Linked DNA regions of Nothobranchius furzeri. The protein of the gene in region 4 purifies or fractionates together with the protein of the main gene of each other region. This does not show direct contact. Links are inferred from orthologs where the notes say so. Each region holds a gene or a part of one and is shown on either strand. Other genes may lie near its edges.

Region 1 (4,733 bases), on a different chromosome or scaffold from region 4:
TGGTGGTCTTGCAATGCCTACACCACTTTTTGCGGTCACATACATTAGCTTTGTGTCCCTTTTTACCGCATTTAAAACAAATAAAGTCTTTACTATCAGCGCTCCGCTCGTGCATGCTTGGTTGAACATATTTCGGCTTCAGGTGCTTGACCCTCTCATTCATCCGTGCTGCCATCACATTGTCCTCTGTGGCAGTGTCCACACGCAGTTTTTCAGTTTCTTCATAACTTCTCAGTTTACTTTTAAATTCTGAAAAAGTCATGTCATCATCACTTTGTGTCACATGGATTCTAAAAGGCGTAAATGAGTCAGGTAGACCTTTTAAAACCATTGCTATTAGCAGTCCATCGCTCAAAGTTTCACCTGCGGTTCTCAGCGCTGTAATGGCGGCCTCGGCTCTCAAAACATAATCCGTTACACTCTCGCCGCTCTTCTGCTGTAATGCAGTCAGTTCTGTATATAAGCTTATTATGCGGGGTTTTCCCTTCCCGGCATAGTGTTCTCTCAAGATAATTAGAGCTTTCCGCCCGTCGTCAGCTGCGTCTCTCATCACCAGTGAAAGGCTCTTATCATCCAGGAATTGTATAAGTTCGGCATATGCCTCTGCGTTCTTTGAATCATATTCCTCATCATCGTCATCGTCTTTCGGTTTTAATATAATGTCTTTCAAACCTTGTAGCCGGAGGTGTCCGAGAAACTTTGTTTCCCACAGTTCATATTTATCCTCGTCTCCGTCAAATACCAGTCTTGACCAGCGGGTACTGGCTTCCACTGTCTTCCGACTCATAGTGTCCGACACACGTCGTAGCTCTCACTCGACTCACCGGACTTGCTGTTGGTCGGTTCTGTGCTCCTCACACGCTAGCAGGATGCTTTCCCAGCTGTCCTGATTAGCTTGGTGCGCAGCGGAAGCGTGCTGGGCCCATAACCTGTTAGCAGAGTTTCGTTTACCCAGCGGTTGGTCCAAGACTCCAAAATGAATCTCCAGGATTAAAAAAAGGAGGAAATAAATCCATAAACAGAGCGTCTGTTTCACGGGCCTTCACTGGTGGTAGCACACACTGATTGCGGCCACTAAAACACCAATGCTCCCTTTTATTGGTCAATTTACGAGGTCAAAGTTTAACTTCCTCTACAGGTACTTTTCAGTATAAAAGCATACATGTATATACACACACACACATTCTTATTTACAAATTTACACAGATGCATAACATAACAGAGCATAACAGAGCACATTAGACTGATGCTTAACAATTATTTCACAAAATTGATCCATTTGAGGCTTTTTTATTGGATGAAATCATAATGGAGGAAATGTATTGTCTGAGCTCTTGAAAACAAACAAACTTTTCAACATGGCATTTAGCTTACATTATTATAATATTAATGTGTTTTTTTAATCTCAATGTCATTTCTGAGGAACCCAAATAACACATTTCTCCATTATAACTTGAAGTCCGGATTAATGTTTATACAATTATTTACCCAAAACTGATTAACAAACAGACAATTAAAAAAAGAATGTACAAAGAAACAGCAGTCCGTTATGAAAGTTTTAACCGGATAAGGACATTTTCGACAGTGTTAGTGATTAACATTGTTTCGGTAAGAGAGACATTTTTCATTATAAAATTCACTTTTGGGATTTCTGCAGTTTTGCGTGATGACGTTTCCCCTCGTGTCGATTGAGACGTAGACTTGTATGACGTAGCACCAAGACGTGATTAGCAAGGGGCTAGTGTTGGTACGACGTCTGAAAACAGCCTGAATTGTGAAAAGGATCTATTTTACTCAATGTCTGAGTAAGTATATCAGTCAGCTGTTATATCTTGAGCAGTGCAGCTGACTGTAAACAGCTATTGGTGTGTGAAGTTGTCTCTAACGGAGGTCAGTCTGGTTAGCTTATAGCTAATGTCCAAAGGAAACCAACGACAGCGTAGCCGCTAGCTGGGCTAGCTAACGTTACATATTCAGAAATCGTGACAGTCAAACTGTGCTGCTGTACTTTGTAAACCATTAAGATATTTTTCTCTTTGACGCATGTTTACGTTATTAAAAATCAAGTTTTTACGATTTAGTTTAAAGTGTTATTATATGCGTGAAGATAACATTGAGAAACCTCGATGCTCAGCTAAGTTTTGTGCTCCTTGCTCTGAAATATGATGGAAACATGTTGATCTCAAAGCTGTTTCTTTTCATTTTTTGGAATCATTCATTTGTTAACCAGGACAGTAGATAAATATGTTTATTGTAAAATCACGTTGAAAAGTCAGCCTGAGGATGTGAATATGTATGAAAATGGCTACGCTCAATTTAAAGTTCAAATTCTTTATCCTCCAAAAAAACTGTCGGTATGGTAAATTTTTTTAGAAAGTACTTAATCTCAGATTTCAGCTAGTTAAACTCATTTGAGTACATTGTGTATACGTGATATGGGATTTAATGTTCTTGCATATGTGGTTTACAATCATCAGACTAAAAGTTTTTTTTTAAATGCAATAATTTTTTCCTTTTTATTCAGGCAGGGTCTGTGTCTTTTTAGGCAGGCAGAGCATTTCTGCCAGATGTGAGGAATCGAGGAGCTGAATGGAAATATTTGAGGCAGTTTGTGTTTGAGGTAAACAAGATGTTCTAACCAGAACTGTAAATTATTATTTTGACAAAATGTCAATCATTTTTTGATAGTAATTATTCATAGATAGTGTAAAAAACCCTTCTCATCTTAGTTTTAGCCAGGTTTGTTTCACAGTACTGGTATTTAGTAGCGTAGCAAGTGTATAAATGTAAATGTAAAAAAACAACCACACACACATATATACAAACAGTGAGCTAAAGAATTAGTTACTGTACTATATTACATTATCTTTCTGAGCACTCCTTTTCTATGGCCGTCTCCAAGTTTAGGTCCTTCACCACCACCCTTACCCATGGTGTCCCACAAGGTTCTCTGCTCTTCCTCCTCTATCTGCTTCCTCTTCAGCACATCCTGAGCTCCTTCAAAGGAATATCCTACCATCTTTATGCAGATGACATCCAACTGTACATCTCCTTTAAGCCCCATGAGATGTCTAAGCTGCAGCTGTTACACACCTGCTTAGACTCTATCAAAACCTGGATGGCTGGGAGCTTTCTTCAGCTGAATGAAGATAAGACTGAGATCCTCATCTGTGCCCCAGACAAGCTGGTTCCCAAAGTCAGAGACTCTCTTGGTCAGCTTGCTTCCCACACCAAACCTTCTGTCAGGAATCTTGGCGTGACCTTTGACCCAGCTCTCACCCTGGATTCTCATGTCATTTCTCTTGTTTGCTCTTCCTTCTTCCATCTCAGGAACGTTGCTAAGCTGAGTCCCATTCTGTCCCGCTCTGAACTTGAGACAGTTCTCCACTCCTTCATCTCCTCATGCTTAGACTACTGTAACTCTCTTTTCACGTGTCTGAGCAGAACCTCCCTGAACCGTCTACAGGTGGTTCGGAATGCCTGTGCTCGGCTTCTGACCAAGTCCTCCAAACACACCCACATCACTCCGCTTCTCCTCCAGCTTCACTGGCTGCCAGTCAACTTCAGGGTTCATTTCAAGATCCTGGTTCTGGTCTATAGGGCCTTACATGGACAAGCACCATCTTACATTGGTGATCTTCTTAGTCCCTACACCCCCAGCAGGTCCCTGAGGTCCGGTGATCAAAGCCTACTGGTTGTGCAGCACCAGACTAAAGACCAAAGGTGACAGATCATTTGCTGCTGTGGCCCCCAGACTCTGGAACTCTCTCCCCCTGAGCCTGAGATCAGTGGACTCAGTGGTCTCCTTTAAAAAGCAGCTGAAGACTCACCTGTTCAAGCTGGCTTTTGTATGACCTTCTTCACCTCTCTCTTTTTGTTCTGCTCTCCCCACCTATTCCACCTTCCTCAGGATCCACTGATTTCCCTCTTTCCTGTTCACTCTCTCTCTTTCTTAACATTTTTTAATTACAATTGCCCATTTTTTTTGCTCATTTAAAATATATTTTTAACCATTTTCTAAATTCTTTTTTATATTTTTTCATTTTTTGTTTTTGTGAAGCGCCTCGTGATTTTTATCTTGAGAAGCGCTATCGAAATGATATTTTCTTCCTCTTCATAATAAACAACATGATGAAACATGTCACCTTCTTGTGTTGAAATCTGTGTAAAATACTTTCGGTTTGGGGGGGGGGGGTGAGATTAAATAATTCAGCATCTCAGAAGCCCTTTTACAATACACACCGCCTTAATCTTATAAAAAGGACACGATTGCACCACATTACCGCCACAGTCTGACCACTTATGAACAACCTAAGGCTCCCTGATGCTGCCACGGCATTGCGGCAAATTAATGGCATTGTTTTGTAAAAATGGCTAGAGTGATAATAGAAACATTTGCTCATCAGGTTGCAGTACAAGCATTGCCAAGTATCTCCATTTCTGCTTTCTGAAAGGCATCTGGGTCATCCATTACAATACGATTTGGGACAATCACATTCCTCCTTTACATTATTTTGTTGACAAAGAAATTTTTAATTACATTAAAACAGCTAATATACCTACTATGTGTAGGTGGTTTATATTTAATCTTTTTTAAATTGTGTTGTTCAGGAGGTTGTAGGTTGTGTACCATGGGGTACGACGTTACGAGGTTCCAGGGTGAGGTAGATGAAGACCTGCTGTGTCCAATATGTAGTGGAGTGCTTGAAGAACCAGTCCAGGTAAGTCAACCA
Region 2 (3,930 bases), on a different chromosome or scaffold from region 4:
TGAAATTTTTAGTCGGATGTTTGTTTCTCCTTTGACCATTCCACACATTCTGCAAACTCATCTGAGACCAAATGGGTACTATAATATTATGTGTTGTAAAGTTTTATATTATAAATAAAATTTTGTATGTTTTTTATGAAAAAAATGGTAAATTACTTTTTAAAAAGTTTTTTTTTTCTAAAAATGTGTTTTTTTGTTTTTGTTTTTTTGGAGTCAAGTGTTACTGCAGCAGCATTCAAACTATATCTGTGCATGCCTAAACTTTGTTACATTTCTGAGGGTTTTATATAAAAGGCTTTAATTTACTGTCTGCTTGCAGCTTCCCAACTGTGGATAAAATGTATGCTGAGTTGTTGTCTTCCTCCAGCAGAGGGTGCCCTTATAATACAAATCTGTGCTTTTCTATTCGGGGCATTCAGGTTTGAGGCACACACACACCTCTAAGATGTCTTTGTATCTTTGAACTCCTGGTGTGTTGTTTTTGTTTGATGTAATAAAAGTGTTTGGAATATCTCTGAAGACTGCAAACTTAAAATTTTAAGGATGATTTCAAAGTAAATTTAAAGAAAAAGAGCCAAAGAAACAAGAAAATGTAACACATGCTCTCTGAACAGGTTTTATTTACTCCTTCAATGTGGATTTCCTCAAAGTTTCCAGTGTCAAAACATGAATCTGGAACTCGCTCTGCATGATGGACATCGTTCCGCCTTCAAACTGCTCATTTTTATACACAAGTTCACAAAACCGATACATTTACAGAGCAAAAACAATTCACCCTCCTGTTTCCATCGGCAAAAAAGTGAAGGTTGTTTAATTATCTAAAAGAAAACATTGCCATAGAAAAAAGAACAAGGATACGAAAAATGTAGCTTTTTATGTTTTAGAGGGAAATACAAAGCCATGAAACCATGAATATAATTATATTCATGAGTGGAAACGGTAACAAGCGTTTCAGCTTTAAATTAATGACACCATACAGGTCAGAATTAAATGTTCATGCTTTTATTGGTACACAGAAATAATAAGCTGGGGGATGGTAATTATACTAAAATATTAACAAGTATGAACATCGCCAGTGCAACCAGTTACAGATCGTTTCAGTGTGGTAGTGTTGGCAGCATCTTCCCTTTTACTTTTCTTCACACCACTGGTTCTCTTTGCGTACCTGTGGACAAAAAGCAGTTTAAAAGCTTTGTTTTCCTTGAGCATCACTTTTGAGGACTTTTTTTTTTTTTACCTGGGCTTCCTCCTCCTCCGTGAAATCGTTTTTGATGTTGAACGTCTTCCTGATCTCCTCTGGGGTTTTGCCTTTGATCATATTGGCCACCGTCTTGCAAGTGACGTCTAACAGGCCTTTGATGTCCAAATAGTTGGCGGCCTGAACAGAAAATAAATGACATTCGGATGTGGAAGATGCTGTGAGATGGCACAAATGCCTCTGATGAATAAGTAACTTTAATGTCTAATATAGGAACTATGAATAAAAGTTTTACATCAGTAAAGCTGGGCCAGTTAGCGTTAGCATGTTAAATACAGAACTATTACAGGGTAACTGCAGGTTTAAGGGAGTCAAATTTAAGACTTTTTAAGACCTTTTTAAGGCCACTTTGACCAAATTTAAGCTATATTTTAAAATTCAATTTCTGCTATAATTTCCAGCTATTGCCTGGAACCGGTGCTAACCACATCGCGAACGTGGGATTAGCCATCCAATTACCATTAAACTTGCACTTCTCCATGGCGTAAGCTCCCACTAGCTTAATCAGCTAATGTGCTCATCTAAAACTAGCCCCCTTTCACAACCAACTGAATGTGTACGGTTCCGCTTACGCCAACATTGTACACAAAAAATGCTGAACACTAACTGGAAATTCACGAAAATGTCATAGAAATGAAATAATCTAGTTTATTGGGTCTTTGGTAATTTAAGACCTTTGGAAACTGTATTTAAGGATCATTTGTCATTTTTAAGGATTTTCAAGGCCTTAAATTTGGAAAAGTAAATGTAAGACTTTTTAAGGACCTGCGGATACCCTGCATTATCCAAATCTGCTTCCACTTCATTAACAAGGAACTTTTTATACAACTTAAAATCAGCATCTGTCTCTTTTACTAGATGTTGCTAAGCAACATTTGTGTTTTTGGTGATCAAATCAGACCACAAAAAAGACAGAATTAGGGATGTCCCGATACGACACCGATTTCAATACGATACCAGCACAAATCATACTTTTACCTATTCCGTAGTGTGGAATGTATGAAAGGCTTGATGAAGTGATATTACTCAATCGGAGAACAAGAGCCAATAACAGTAAGTATGAAAAAAAATTTGACCCTTTTTTTAAACCACTGGTCGCAAAAATGTGAACCTTAACAAACTGCTTATATTGGAGATTTATGATGCAGTCCGATATAATCCAATAGTGTTTTTGGGCCGATAATGAATTGCTTCTGATATCGGAATGGGACATCCCTAGACAGAATACTAGTGATGCACCGATATCATATATCGGCGATATGAAATTTTTTGTGCCGATACCGATATTGGTCGATATCGATATACTGGCATTAATGCTTCTAAAATCAGCAGATTTTGTATAGAATGAAAATTATAAATTATTAAAGCTGGATTTACATTATTATGTACACACACCACACACATTTATGGTTCTGAAATGATTTCATTCACTGTTCACAAGACTAAATTACACATCACCCTCTGAAACAGGCAAACAAATGGGGACAAGATGGAAAAATATCGGTTGTTAATATTGGCCTGGTTTTCTTTATTGAACAGATATGTTAAAAAATAGCTAACATCAGCCGATACCGTTATATTGTCCATCCCTACAGAATACCCAATTACACAAAACTTGACAAAAAAAATTTTTTTTAAAATAATCATCAAACGAGGACGTTTGAAGTAACGGGTGTAAATAAAGATCTGGATCGGAGTTAAGAGAAAACAAGCACTTATATCGTTTGAAGAACATATTCATGGGGCTTTGGGACATTCTGACGTGTTTCTGTGTAACACATCAGTTTTTATCTTACTTCTTGTAGACAGCTTCCTGAAGAGCCTCAGTTTGAAGAAAGTGTTTACGTTTTAACTAATGATGTGCTAAAGCTAATCCAAACACAAGTGGATCGCTAACGTCTCCAAGCTCCTCTTATAAACTACATTTCAAATCAGTTCACATGAATAATTATAGCTGTACAATACAAAATAAGTTGCCTTTTTAAACACTTATTTTATTTATAGTAATGTTTACAGTGAGCGCATTTTAGGCTGAGTGTTATGGAGAGCTGCGGCGAAGAGGTCGGCTGCCAATCAGAATTTGTAGCAGAACTATAAACTATGTGTAATATTTGCAAAAACAACAACTTTTCTGGTTTTGCCTGACCCAAACTTCTAATAATGACCTAAAAACAGAGAGGACATTTTTTCCAGTTGATTCAACCTCAAGAGTTAAGAATTCTGCTGAGGGGTGAAAATCTGTTTAAGGGGTGCGGGAAAAGCATCAATTTCAATGTAGCTAACGCATTTAGCAGCAAAATAAGAATAATGTTTAATGAAACATATTTACCAGAATGAGTTCAAACAAGGTGCCTTGGTCCACTTTGAGGAACTCCTGGTCCCAGACGGGAATGTCGTCCGTCCTTTTCTCTTTGTTCTCATCATCCTCGGGAGGAGGAGGATCATCTTTGTGATGAGTGCACCACTGAATCACCTAAAGGGGAAAACATGTTTATTCTTAACTGAAACTACATAATTTTATACATTCGTGTTAAGATTTACGCAGACAGAAACATGTGCACAACATTCCCCCGTGATGAAGGAATTTTGAGATCTTCTGCTGAGGTGCATCTACACGTACAGTTTTACCTTTATCTGGATTAAAGGAGCGTGTCAGTTGATTTGGCAGGACA
Region 3 (4,671 bases), on a different chromosome or scaffold from region 4:
CAGCGCTTGTGAAATTGTTGTCACGTGTACAGAATGACCACTCTGCCATAAAGTCCTGTAACTCCTGCAGAGAGGCCACCAGCCTCTTGGTAGCCTCCTCACCAGATTCAGTTCCAAAAAGCTTTCTTTGTCTCCGAGGGACAATTAAGGACCCGGTTATTTTAGAGCAGAGTGAAGCAATCCTCTGCAGTCGCTTCCTGTTGTGGAGACGGATGGAGTGGAACCAGCAGATTATTGAGAAGGTGATGATACTCAGCAAAGCTATGGTAAAAAGTCTGTAGAACATCAGTTTCCTCCTTGCACTTCCACACAGAACAAGGGAGGGTCCCAGTTGCACCAAACACTGTCCCCTTCTTTATTGGAGACTTTACTGTGCTGCTCCTTGAGATTGAAATTTTCCGTAGTCTGTCCACAACTCTTTCCCTGAAATCTTTTAAATGTGGATTGCCACCCATGGTCCGTCTGATGTCAGCTCCAGCAACAGCTGGCGTTATTCACAGAGCAATACGATTGTAGTCCTTCAGAGGGGGTGATTATTTTCTCATTCAAAACTTTGACTTGAACTGCACTTTTATAGCGCCTTTCAGTGTCAGTGTATCATTCATCCGTTCACACACTGGTGGTGATGAGCTACAACATAGCCACAGCTGCCCTGGGGCACACTGACGGAGGCGAGGCTGCCAAACCCAGGTGTCACCGGTCCTTCCGACCGCCACCAGGGGGCGGGCGGGGTGGGGTTGGGGGGGGTGGGGGGTAATTTTCTTGCCCAAGGACACAACAGCAGGATTCTCTGGTGGGAGCCGGGATCGGACCTGCAACCTTCTGATTACTGGACAACCAACCCAACCTCTTGAGCTACTGCTGGCCCTACTTATCACTGAAAGAAAAATCATCACAAAGAGCAAAACAAATGACTTTTAATCAAGTGTAAATAACAGCATTCTGTTGTTGCTTAAAGAGCAAGTCACCCCCCCAAATAAACTTTTTTTTTGCTGATAAACTAAATAAACGAGTGTCTAATCGTGCTGCAGACACGTGTCGTCAATAATTTGGCACTTTAGTGCATCTTAGTTAAAATTTAAATATTCTGCCTAAAACTGGCAGTGTTGTGCCGTTGTCAGGTAAAAACTCTGCACTGTATTTCAATTTAAATCTGCCACCGCTATTGGCGAAGAGGTATGCTATGATGTAAACTGGTACATTATGATGTCACAATGCTGTCGTGAGCCTGTGTGTGTGTGTGTATTTGTTAGCAGCTCCGCCTTCTCGGTCTGCCAGGCAACAGCATTTGTTGCATTTTTCAAACATGAAGTGAGAGTGGAGTTAGACTCTGGTAGGGGTTGACTAAGCAAAAGTTTATTTGGGGGGTGAGTTGCTCTTTAAATGATTCGCAGCATCAGTTTTTATTGTTTTTTTGTTTTGTTTGTTTCGTAATTTTACACAAAAAGCTGAAAAGCGATAAGAATTAAAACAAAAATGTTTTGTAGAGTTTTATAGAATAAATGATTAATAATAAAAATAGTGATTCTGTGTGTTAAAGGTCAGGTTTACGTCATGACGCTGCCGGCCGGATGTTACGTCACAGCGCCCAGTCAGGCTGTGTTGATGTTTTGGAGAACGGGAAGAGGGAGACGCTTTTTGTTTTTGTTCAACTCCACCGTCGAATGTAAACAGAATTGTTGTTTCTTTGGTCGGTTTCGGTCCGTTAAGGGTCTTAACTCGGTGACTGGAGCCGAACCGCTCGTTCAGAAGGTGAATAGACCGACTAGTTTTATCCAGAACGGGGACTCGTCACCCTCTGACCGCCTCCCTGCTCCACCATGACGATCCTCCCCAAGAAGAAGCCCAGCTCTGGTGTCGGCGTCTCGGACCACGCCGATGACAGCGACCGTCGGAGCAGCTCCGACCCTCACCAACACCCACACCCGCACGCTGGGCGGACCGGAGCCCGACCCAGAGCCTCCCCTCCGCCGTGGTCTTACCAGACTGCTCCCCCCTCCGCCAGAGAGGACAGGCGGAGCATCGAGGCGAGCTCCCGGCCGCAGCAGGCCTCTCCGCCGCCCGTTGGCTCCGTGTCCCCGGTAGGGCCGGGAGATGGCAGAGACGGTAGCGGTGGAATGGTTACCGGCTCCCGCGGGGAGCTTGTTGTGCCTGCCGGTGTCGTTGGATGCGGCGGGTCGATAGGCGGTTGCTGCTCCGGGCCCGGGCTGAGCAAGAGGCGGCGGCAGGCAGGAACCTGCTCCGGTGGGGTGGTCGCTGCTCTGGCCGGGGGAGGCCAGCCGGGGGTGACCGGACCCGGAGGTGTAGGGTCCAGTCAGGATACGGAGGAAGGAGCAGGGAACAACAGCGAGGACGAGTACGAGAACGCCGCCCGGTTGCAGTTCATGGACCCGGCCACGGTGGAGCAGGTAGGGAGCTAACAGGCTAACGGGGATGCTAACGAGGCTAAACGGGAGGGTTCTGGAGGGTTTGAAGGCTTTTACACAACATTTAACTCCATAAAGAGACCCCACCGTGTCAGCAGTGTCGTGATTAACAAAAGTGTAATCATAAAGGAAACGCCGCTGTAGCGGTACAACACCAGTACTACACTGTTTTCACCACAACGGTCAGGTCAAAGTCTGACCCGCTTCCCAAAGGCTTCAGGTAACCATAGCAACGACTGGGATGCTGTAGTCACACAACAGGTAATAGGGGTGGGGATTTATGAGGGCTGGATGTGCAGGTGGGGGCAGCAGCAACAGTCAGTCCAGATGTGGTTTTAGTGCCTCCCAGCATCCAGATCCAGACCTGTGGTCCTGAATCTGGATCAGCACTTTTCTAGAATGTGGATTTTTTTTTACACCATCAGGTCTCTACTGACCTCGATCAGCAGGCCATTAGACGTAAGCAACATGTTTGAAACCTCAGTGTCATCTTCGATGAACACATGAATTTCGACAAACAGATCAATGCGGCGGTCAAGTCAAGTTTTTATCAACTTAGGACCTGGAAAAAGTCAGTCATGCCCTTATAAGCTCGCACATCGGTTACTGCAATGCCCTATCCAAGTCCTCCATCGCTCGTCTGCAGCTAGCCCAAAATACCGCAGCCCGTCTCCTCACTAACACACCTTGGGGCAGCCATATTACTCCCATTCGCTTAGAACTGCACTGGCTTCCTGTATTTTTCAGAACACAATTCAAATTCATAATGTTCACGAGCATCCATGGCCTCGGTCCTGCCTATCTCTCTGACTCCTTGTCCTTACGTCAGCTAACACGGTCCACTAACTCAGTCCCTCGACCTCGATACAAGCACTGGGGTGACCGCTCTTTTTCAGTCGTGACTCCAGCAGTCTGGAACAAACTCCCTGATGACCTGAGTTTGACTTTTGAGTTATCTTTGTTCAAGCGCAAGCTTAAAACCTACCTTTTCCAACAGGCTCTTCATCAGTAGCCATCCTCTTTAACTTCTGATGATAAAGACTCGCGGGTCTTATTTTGTTTCTGAACCAGGAACGGGCTTTTGGTCCTGATGCTGACAGCCTGGATGTTCCTTTTCCTCTTTGGACCAGAGCTCTTAGACCCCAGCTCTTGAAACAATACTCCAGAGTTCTGATCCAGTTGACCACATTTCTGCTGTTCTGGTCCAACCCAGAGGATTTGGTGCAGCCTCTGAATGGAGTGGTTGCTGATTAGAGATTGACAAATTGGTTTTTCTTTTGCTGATGCTGATATGTAGAGGTCCTGGTCAGCCGTATGGTAAAATGTCACTGATAACATCTAGACGTGGGCGGTGCTCACATTTTAATCCCACCTAGCTTCCTCCACATTTTACCACGGTGTGCGGTATTACTGGGACTAATTTAAAAATGATGACGTAAGCCTTCAAACTGTTGGTTTGGACCTTCACCGTTCAGAAACTCAATAACAAACACTAACAACATAACACACCTAATATTAACAACTTTAATAAAAAAACAAGCTTATAAAAAGATTTTTCACCTGTAAAACCTGCACGTTTACCTTTTTCGGCTTCAGCCCCCAACTGCTGAAAACTCGCTTGTGGCAGACGGCCGGTTACCTTTGGGCTAGTCGTGACATCTGGGGAAGGCTGGCTGCTTATTTCCACCAGAAAGGCCTGTAGTCGTGCCTTTTAATGACGGCTGCAGACAGAAATCTGCCTCTTCAGCTACGGCTCGCTGCTCTGCCGTGCCGACGGGGCGGGCGGCTTTCGCTGTCCTCTTTTGTTTGCACAAATGACCTCATAAGAGTTCACCAGAAGTTGTGGTTTTTTTAAGACTCCCGGTCAGCTGGTACGCGAGCTGCCATTTCTTCTCTCGGCGCTGTCATGTGATGACATCATGTTCATAAACTTTGTGGAACATCTCTAAAATGTCGACAAAACATTTTAAACTATTTAAGTAAAACCAAAAATTCAGCCATGCTTCTGTTTTATGCTTTAAATAACCTTTATTTATTTTTGTTTATTTTTTATCTCTGTCTCCTACGTGCACTGGTTTTTTTCATGACGGTATCGGAACTGACACCGATGCTATTGTTCCACACCGGCTGGATGCGATAACGCCGCCCAAGCCCGACAACATCAGGTTACGCAATCATTTCTGACGCAGAATCTGCTTTTGAACTCGGAGTTCAACCAAACGTTAAATCTCAACACTGTTCTCAG
Region 4 (3,994 bases):
ATAGTGGTTATTAATTTCGGCCCAGTTTTACTTATTCAACCGAAACAGATGTGTTAAAAAAATTACTAACATTGGCCAATACCAATATATGTTGTGCAAATGTGCGGTCCCCTTTTCTGACATGTCTGGATAAACGAACAGTTATCCAGACTGTATGTTAGATTTGCTAATTAATTACTTAATAATAATAATAACAATACATTTTATTTAAAAGCACCTTTCAGGTCACCCAAGGTCACTTTACAGAATAAGAACCATAAATCAAACTTAGACATTTCAATACTTGGTTGCAAGTCCTTTGCAGTCAATTACAGCCTGAAGTCTGGAACACATAGATGTCACCAGACGTTGGGTTTCATCCCTGGTGATGCTCTGCCAGGCTTCTACTGCAACAGTCTTCAGTTCCTGCTTGTTCCTGGGGCATTTTCCCTTCAGTTTTGTCTTCAGCAAGTGAAATATTCAGCTGAATATGAGCAGATAATATTGCCTGACACACTTGAGAATTCATTGTGCTTTTTTTGTCAGCAGTTATCAATAAATACAAGAGAACCAGTTCCACTGGCAGCCATACATGCCCACGTCATGACTCTTCCAGCACCATGCTTCACTGATGAGGTGGTACGCTTGGGATCATGAGCAGTTCCTTTCCGTCTCCATACTCTTCTCTTCCCATCACTCTGGTACAAGTTGATCTTGGCCTCATCTGTCCATAGGATGTTGTTCCAGAACTGTGAAGGCTTTTTTAGATGTTGTTTGGCAAACTCTAATCTGGCCTTCCTGTTTTTGGGGCTCACCAACGGTTTACATCTTGTGGTGAACCCTCTGTATTCACACTGGTGGAGTCTTCTCTTGATTGTTGACTTTGACACAGATACACCTACCTCCTGGAGAGCATTATTGATCTGGCCAACTGTTGTGAAGGGTGTTTTCTTCACCAGGGAAAGGATTCTTCGGTCATCAACCACAGTTATTTTCCGTGGTCTTCCAGGTATTTTGGTGTTGCTGAGCTCACCGGTGTGTTCCTTCTTTTTGAGAATGTTCCAAACTTGTTTTGGCCACGCCTAATGTTTTTGCTATCTCTCTGATAGGTTTCTTTTGTTTTTTCAGCCTAATGATGGCTTGCTTCACTGAGTTTAACAGCTTTTTGGATCTCATCTTGGATTCGTTGCTTTATTCCTCAACCCAAGTCCTCGGATCACGCATTTTAGCTAAAACACTAACGTCAACTTGCCTTGCATTGATTGTAGAGTTGTGGGTGATGATCATGCAGATGTGTCATGAGATTTGAAGGGTTGCTGCCTTTCACAGACACTTTTTCTGCACGTGCTGCAAACAGGATAGCTGTCTTCTAGCAAGTGTCCCTCGGCATTCTTCAAATATCCAAAAAATGCCCATACTTCCGACTTTGTCTTCTTTGAGGGATAATAAATGTCCTGAGCGCAGCCGTCTCCTCCTTTAACCATTATTTCAGCTTTAGCTTCAAGAAAGTTTTGGTTGTAAACAGTAAAGTGCGCATGTGCCGCCGGCAACTTCAGCAGATGATACGGTGGCTGGTAAGGGTCACTGCGCCTACACCGCAGCCACGGTAATCCACCAAGATAATATATATTTTTTTTAAAACTAGAGAGGTTATTATTATTGTCAACTTTTTTACCGGGGTTTACCGCTACACCGGTTACCGTGACAACCCTGGACTGTATGTAAAGGAGAGCTGAGCCATTAAGAGCTTCAAAAAATAAAAAATTCTGCATGGCATTTAAATGAGAGCCATTGCAGAGACTTTTTTTTCATTGCAGAGACTTAAGTCCAACCTCATCGTGCACTTGAAGCAGGATCACAAAACATTGCATGAGGATTTTTGGAGTGTGTGAACTTTAAACTTTAGACACTCGACTTGTAGCAGTTGGTCAATGAACAATATTGTGTTTTTTTTTCTTATGTCCCTGCTAAGGCCCGATCGATATGCTTTTTTGGGACCGATACCGATATAAAACTTTTAACAAAGGCCGATAGCAGATATAATGGCCGGTAAATCTCCCTCACAAAAAAAGAAATAAAAATTTTCTTAAGCTTAAACCCTTCATTCTCTGCCTTTTTGATGCTTACTTATTTTGCTATTACACACCAAAGAACGGTCTCAATAACTCACTAGGGTTTCCAAGTAATGCAAATAAGACTTATTTAGCAGATCTCAAAAACAACAGAACACACAAACTCAGTCACAGCATAAATCTAACATTCAAGTTTTTTCTTGTATACTGTGGTTTCCACAAATACATTTTAACTTAAAGGATTATTCCACCACTCAGTAAAATTGTGTCTTGTTAAGATTCCCCAGAGTTGGACAAGTCAGAAAAAGCATTTTATAACCAGCCCAATATGATCTGGCAGCAGTTGGTTTTCTTAGTTTAGCATAAAACAATGTAAGTGAATTCACATACACTGTAGCGTTTTTTATGTAGGTGAATGCAAGCCTTCCCTTCCATTGCTTAATGCTAAAACAACTGGTTACATAATGTTTTTTCTGACTTAGCTAACTCTGGGGAATCTAACAACATGCACAAGTTTAGGGACAGAAGATCCCTATAAGAATATTAAAATAATAAAAATACAGCAATAAATAAAACGTAATACTTGTGCTTTGTAACAAAGTAACACTCTGTGGAAGTTAACTTGGTGAACTTATTCACCCTGGACAGGAAATAATTGCACATAAGAAACATAAATAAGAATAAATTGAAAAAAAAAAAGTTCCAAAACAATAATTTGTGTTCAAAGGAGTGGAGCCACACAACATGAGTTCATAAAGCAGGCACCATCTGCTGGATAGGTAGCGCAATATCGGCCGTCTTTTTGGCCGATAGCCGATACTGTTAATGACCCCAATATCAGCCAATAATATCGGCCGGACGATATATCGGTCAGGCCCTAGTCCCTGCCCTCCACATTTTTGCAACCAAAGGTTGACTTTTCTTTTCTGTTTGAATAAAATCACTTGATCAAGTCTTTTATGCATTTCACGCTATGAAATAGGTAAAAATATGTGTGATTTGTGCTGATTTCATATCAGATTGATATCTGTATCGGTCAGTACTTAAGGCTGTATAATCTGTATCGTATCGGAAGTGAAAAAAGTTGTATCGGGACATCCCTGTTTTGCATGCTCAAAGACGTCTTACGTCTTAGCTGCTGCTACTAATTCTTTGTGATTAGCTGTATTTTGTTTGGCTTTGTGCTCTCAATGATTACGTAAAGTTGCGTTTACAGCTGCAGCAAAAAGTCTGAGCCATATGTCTGAGTCCTACATTTATTTCCTGGTATACATATTGTTGATTGGATAACAAGATAATCTTGATGTAAAAAATAGTTTTTTTTTAATGTGTTATTATAACTGTTAATACCCTTTACCGTGGTTTATACTGAAAATGTGTGTTCATCTGTTTCTCTGCTTTCACCACTACCTCCACCCTCCTTTTTGTCCAACAGATTAGTCAGCTGGAATCAGACCTGCAGGAGCTAGGTTCCCTCTTGGGGAAAGCAGAAAGGAAAAGGGTTCAGGATCTGCTAAAGGAGGAGCAGAAGAAGGTGGAGAAAGAACTCACAGCCAAACGGCTACAGCAGGAGCAACAAGCTAGGAGAGAAGCAGAACCTTCTTCAGCCTCCAAAGCAGCGTACACAGTGAAGATCACTAGCTATGGTAAAGAGCTTTCAAGATTAAAGGTTTATGAGGGCAGTAGCAAATTCTCCACATTGTTCCATTTTTAAAATTATATAAATATTTATTCACAGCATGGGATCAGTCTGACAAATTTGTCAAAATTTACCTGAATTTGAAAGAAGTGCAGAAAATACCTTCAGAAAATGTGGAGGTGAACTTCACAGAAAGGTAAACTTGTGAGTAACAAATAACGTTTGCTGTGCTTGTTCATCATATGAAATATTTTTTTTAAAATCACATGTTGTCTCTTGCAGATCGTTTTCGGTGCTGGTCAAG

The links.
Region 1: the proteins of cacybp (region 4) and rnf41 purify together in Homo sapiens (affinity purification with mass spectrometry; 4 studies listed by BioGRID and IntAct, with this or other methods). This does not show direct contact. The link is inferred for Nothobranchius furzeri from reciprocal best matches to the Homo sapiens genes CACYBP and RNF41.
Region 2: the proteins of cacybp (region 4) and skp1 purify together in Homo sapiens (affinity purification with western blotting; 6 studies listed by BioGRID, with this or other methods). This does not show direct contact. The link is inferred for Nothobranchius furzeri from reciprocal best matches to the Homo sapiens genes CACYBP and SKP1.
Region 3: the proteins of cacybp (region 4) and otud5a purify together in Homo sapiens (affinity purification with mass spectrometry; 4 studies listed by BioGRID and IntAct, with this or other methods). This does not show direct contact. The link is inferred for Nothobranchius furzeri from reciprocal best matches to the Homo sapiens genes CACYBP and OTUD5.

The regions. Positions count from the first base shown.
Region 1 is NC_091755.1:37,149,274-37,154,006, reverse strand, and holds the start of rnf41 (E3 ubiquitin-protein ligase NRDP1), read left to right. Parts: upstream 1-1,680; 5' UTR 1,681-1,805; intron 1,806-2,524; 5' UTR 2,525-2,620; intron 2,621-4,611; 5' UTR 4,612-4,631; coding exon 4,632-4,721; intron 4,722-4,733. Other genes in the region: uncharacterized protein, read right to left, coding at 1-787. UniProt on the Homo sapiens protein: Acts as E3 ubiquitin-protein ligase and regulates the degradation of target proteins. Polyubiquitinates MYD88. Negatively regulates MYD88-dependent production of pro-inflammatory cytokines.
Region 2 is NC_091750.1:60,005,851-60,009,780, forward strand, and holds the end of skp1 (S-phase kinase-associated protein 1), read right to left. Parts: intron 3,732-3,930; coding exon 3,588-3,731; intron 1,379-3,587; coding exon 1,238-1,378; intron 1,166-1,237; coding exon 1,130-1,165; 3' UTR 603-1,129; downstream 1-602. UniProt on the Homo sapiens protein: Essential component of the SCF (SKP1-CUL1-F-box protein) ubiquitin ligase complex, which mediates the ubiquitination of proteins involved in cell cycle progression, signal transduction and transcription.
Region 3 is NC_091755.1:47,032,687-47,037,357, forward strand, and holds the start of otud5a (OTU domain-containing protein 5-A), read left to right. Parts: upstream 1-1,595; 5' UTR 1,596-1,820; coding exon 1,821-2,408; intron 2,409-4,671. UniProt on the Homo sapiens protein: Deubiquitinating enzyme that functions as a negative regulator of the innate immune system. Has peptidase activity towards 'Lys-48'- and 'Lys-63'-linked polyubiquitin chains. Can also cleave 'Lys-11'-linked ubiquitin chains (in vitro).
Region 4 is NC_091751.1:54,233,316-54,237,309, forward strand, and holds part of cacybp (calcyclin-binding protein), read left to right. Parts: intron 1-3,486; coding exon 3,487-3,697; intron 3,698-3,789; coding exon 3,790-3,886; intron 3,887-3,972; coding exon 3,973-3,994. UniProt on the Homo sapiens protein: May be involved in calcium-dependent ubiquitination and subsequent proteasomal degradation of target proteins. Probably serves as a molecular bridge in ubiquitin E3 complexes. Participates in the ubiquitin-mediated degradation of beta-catenin (CTNNB1).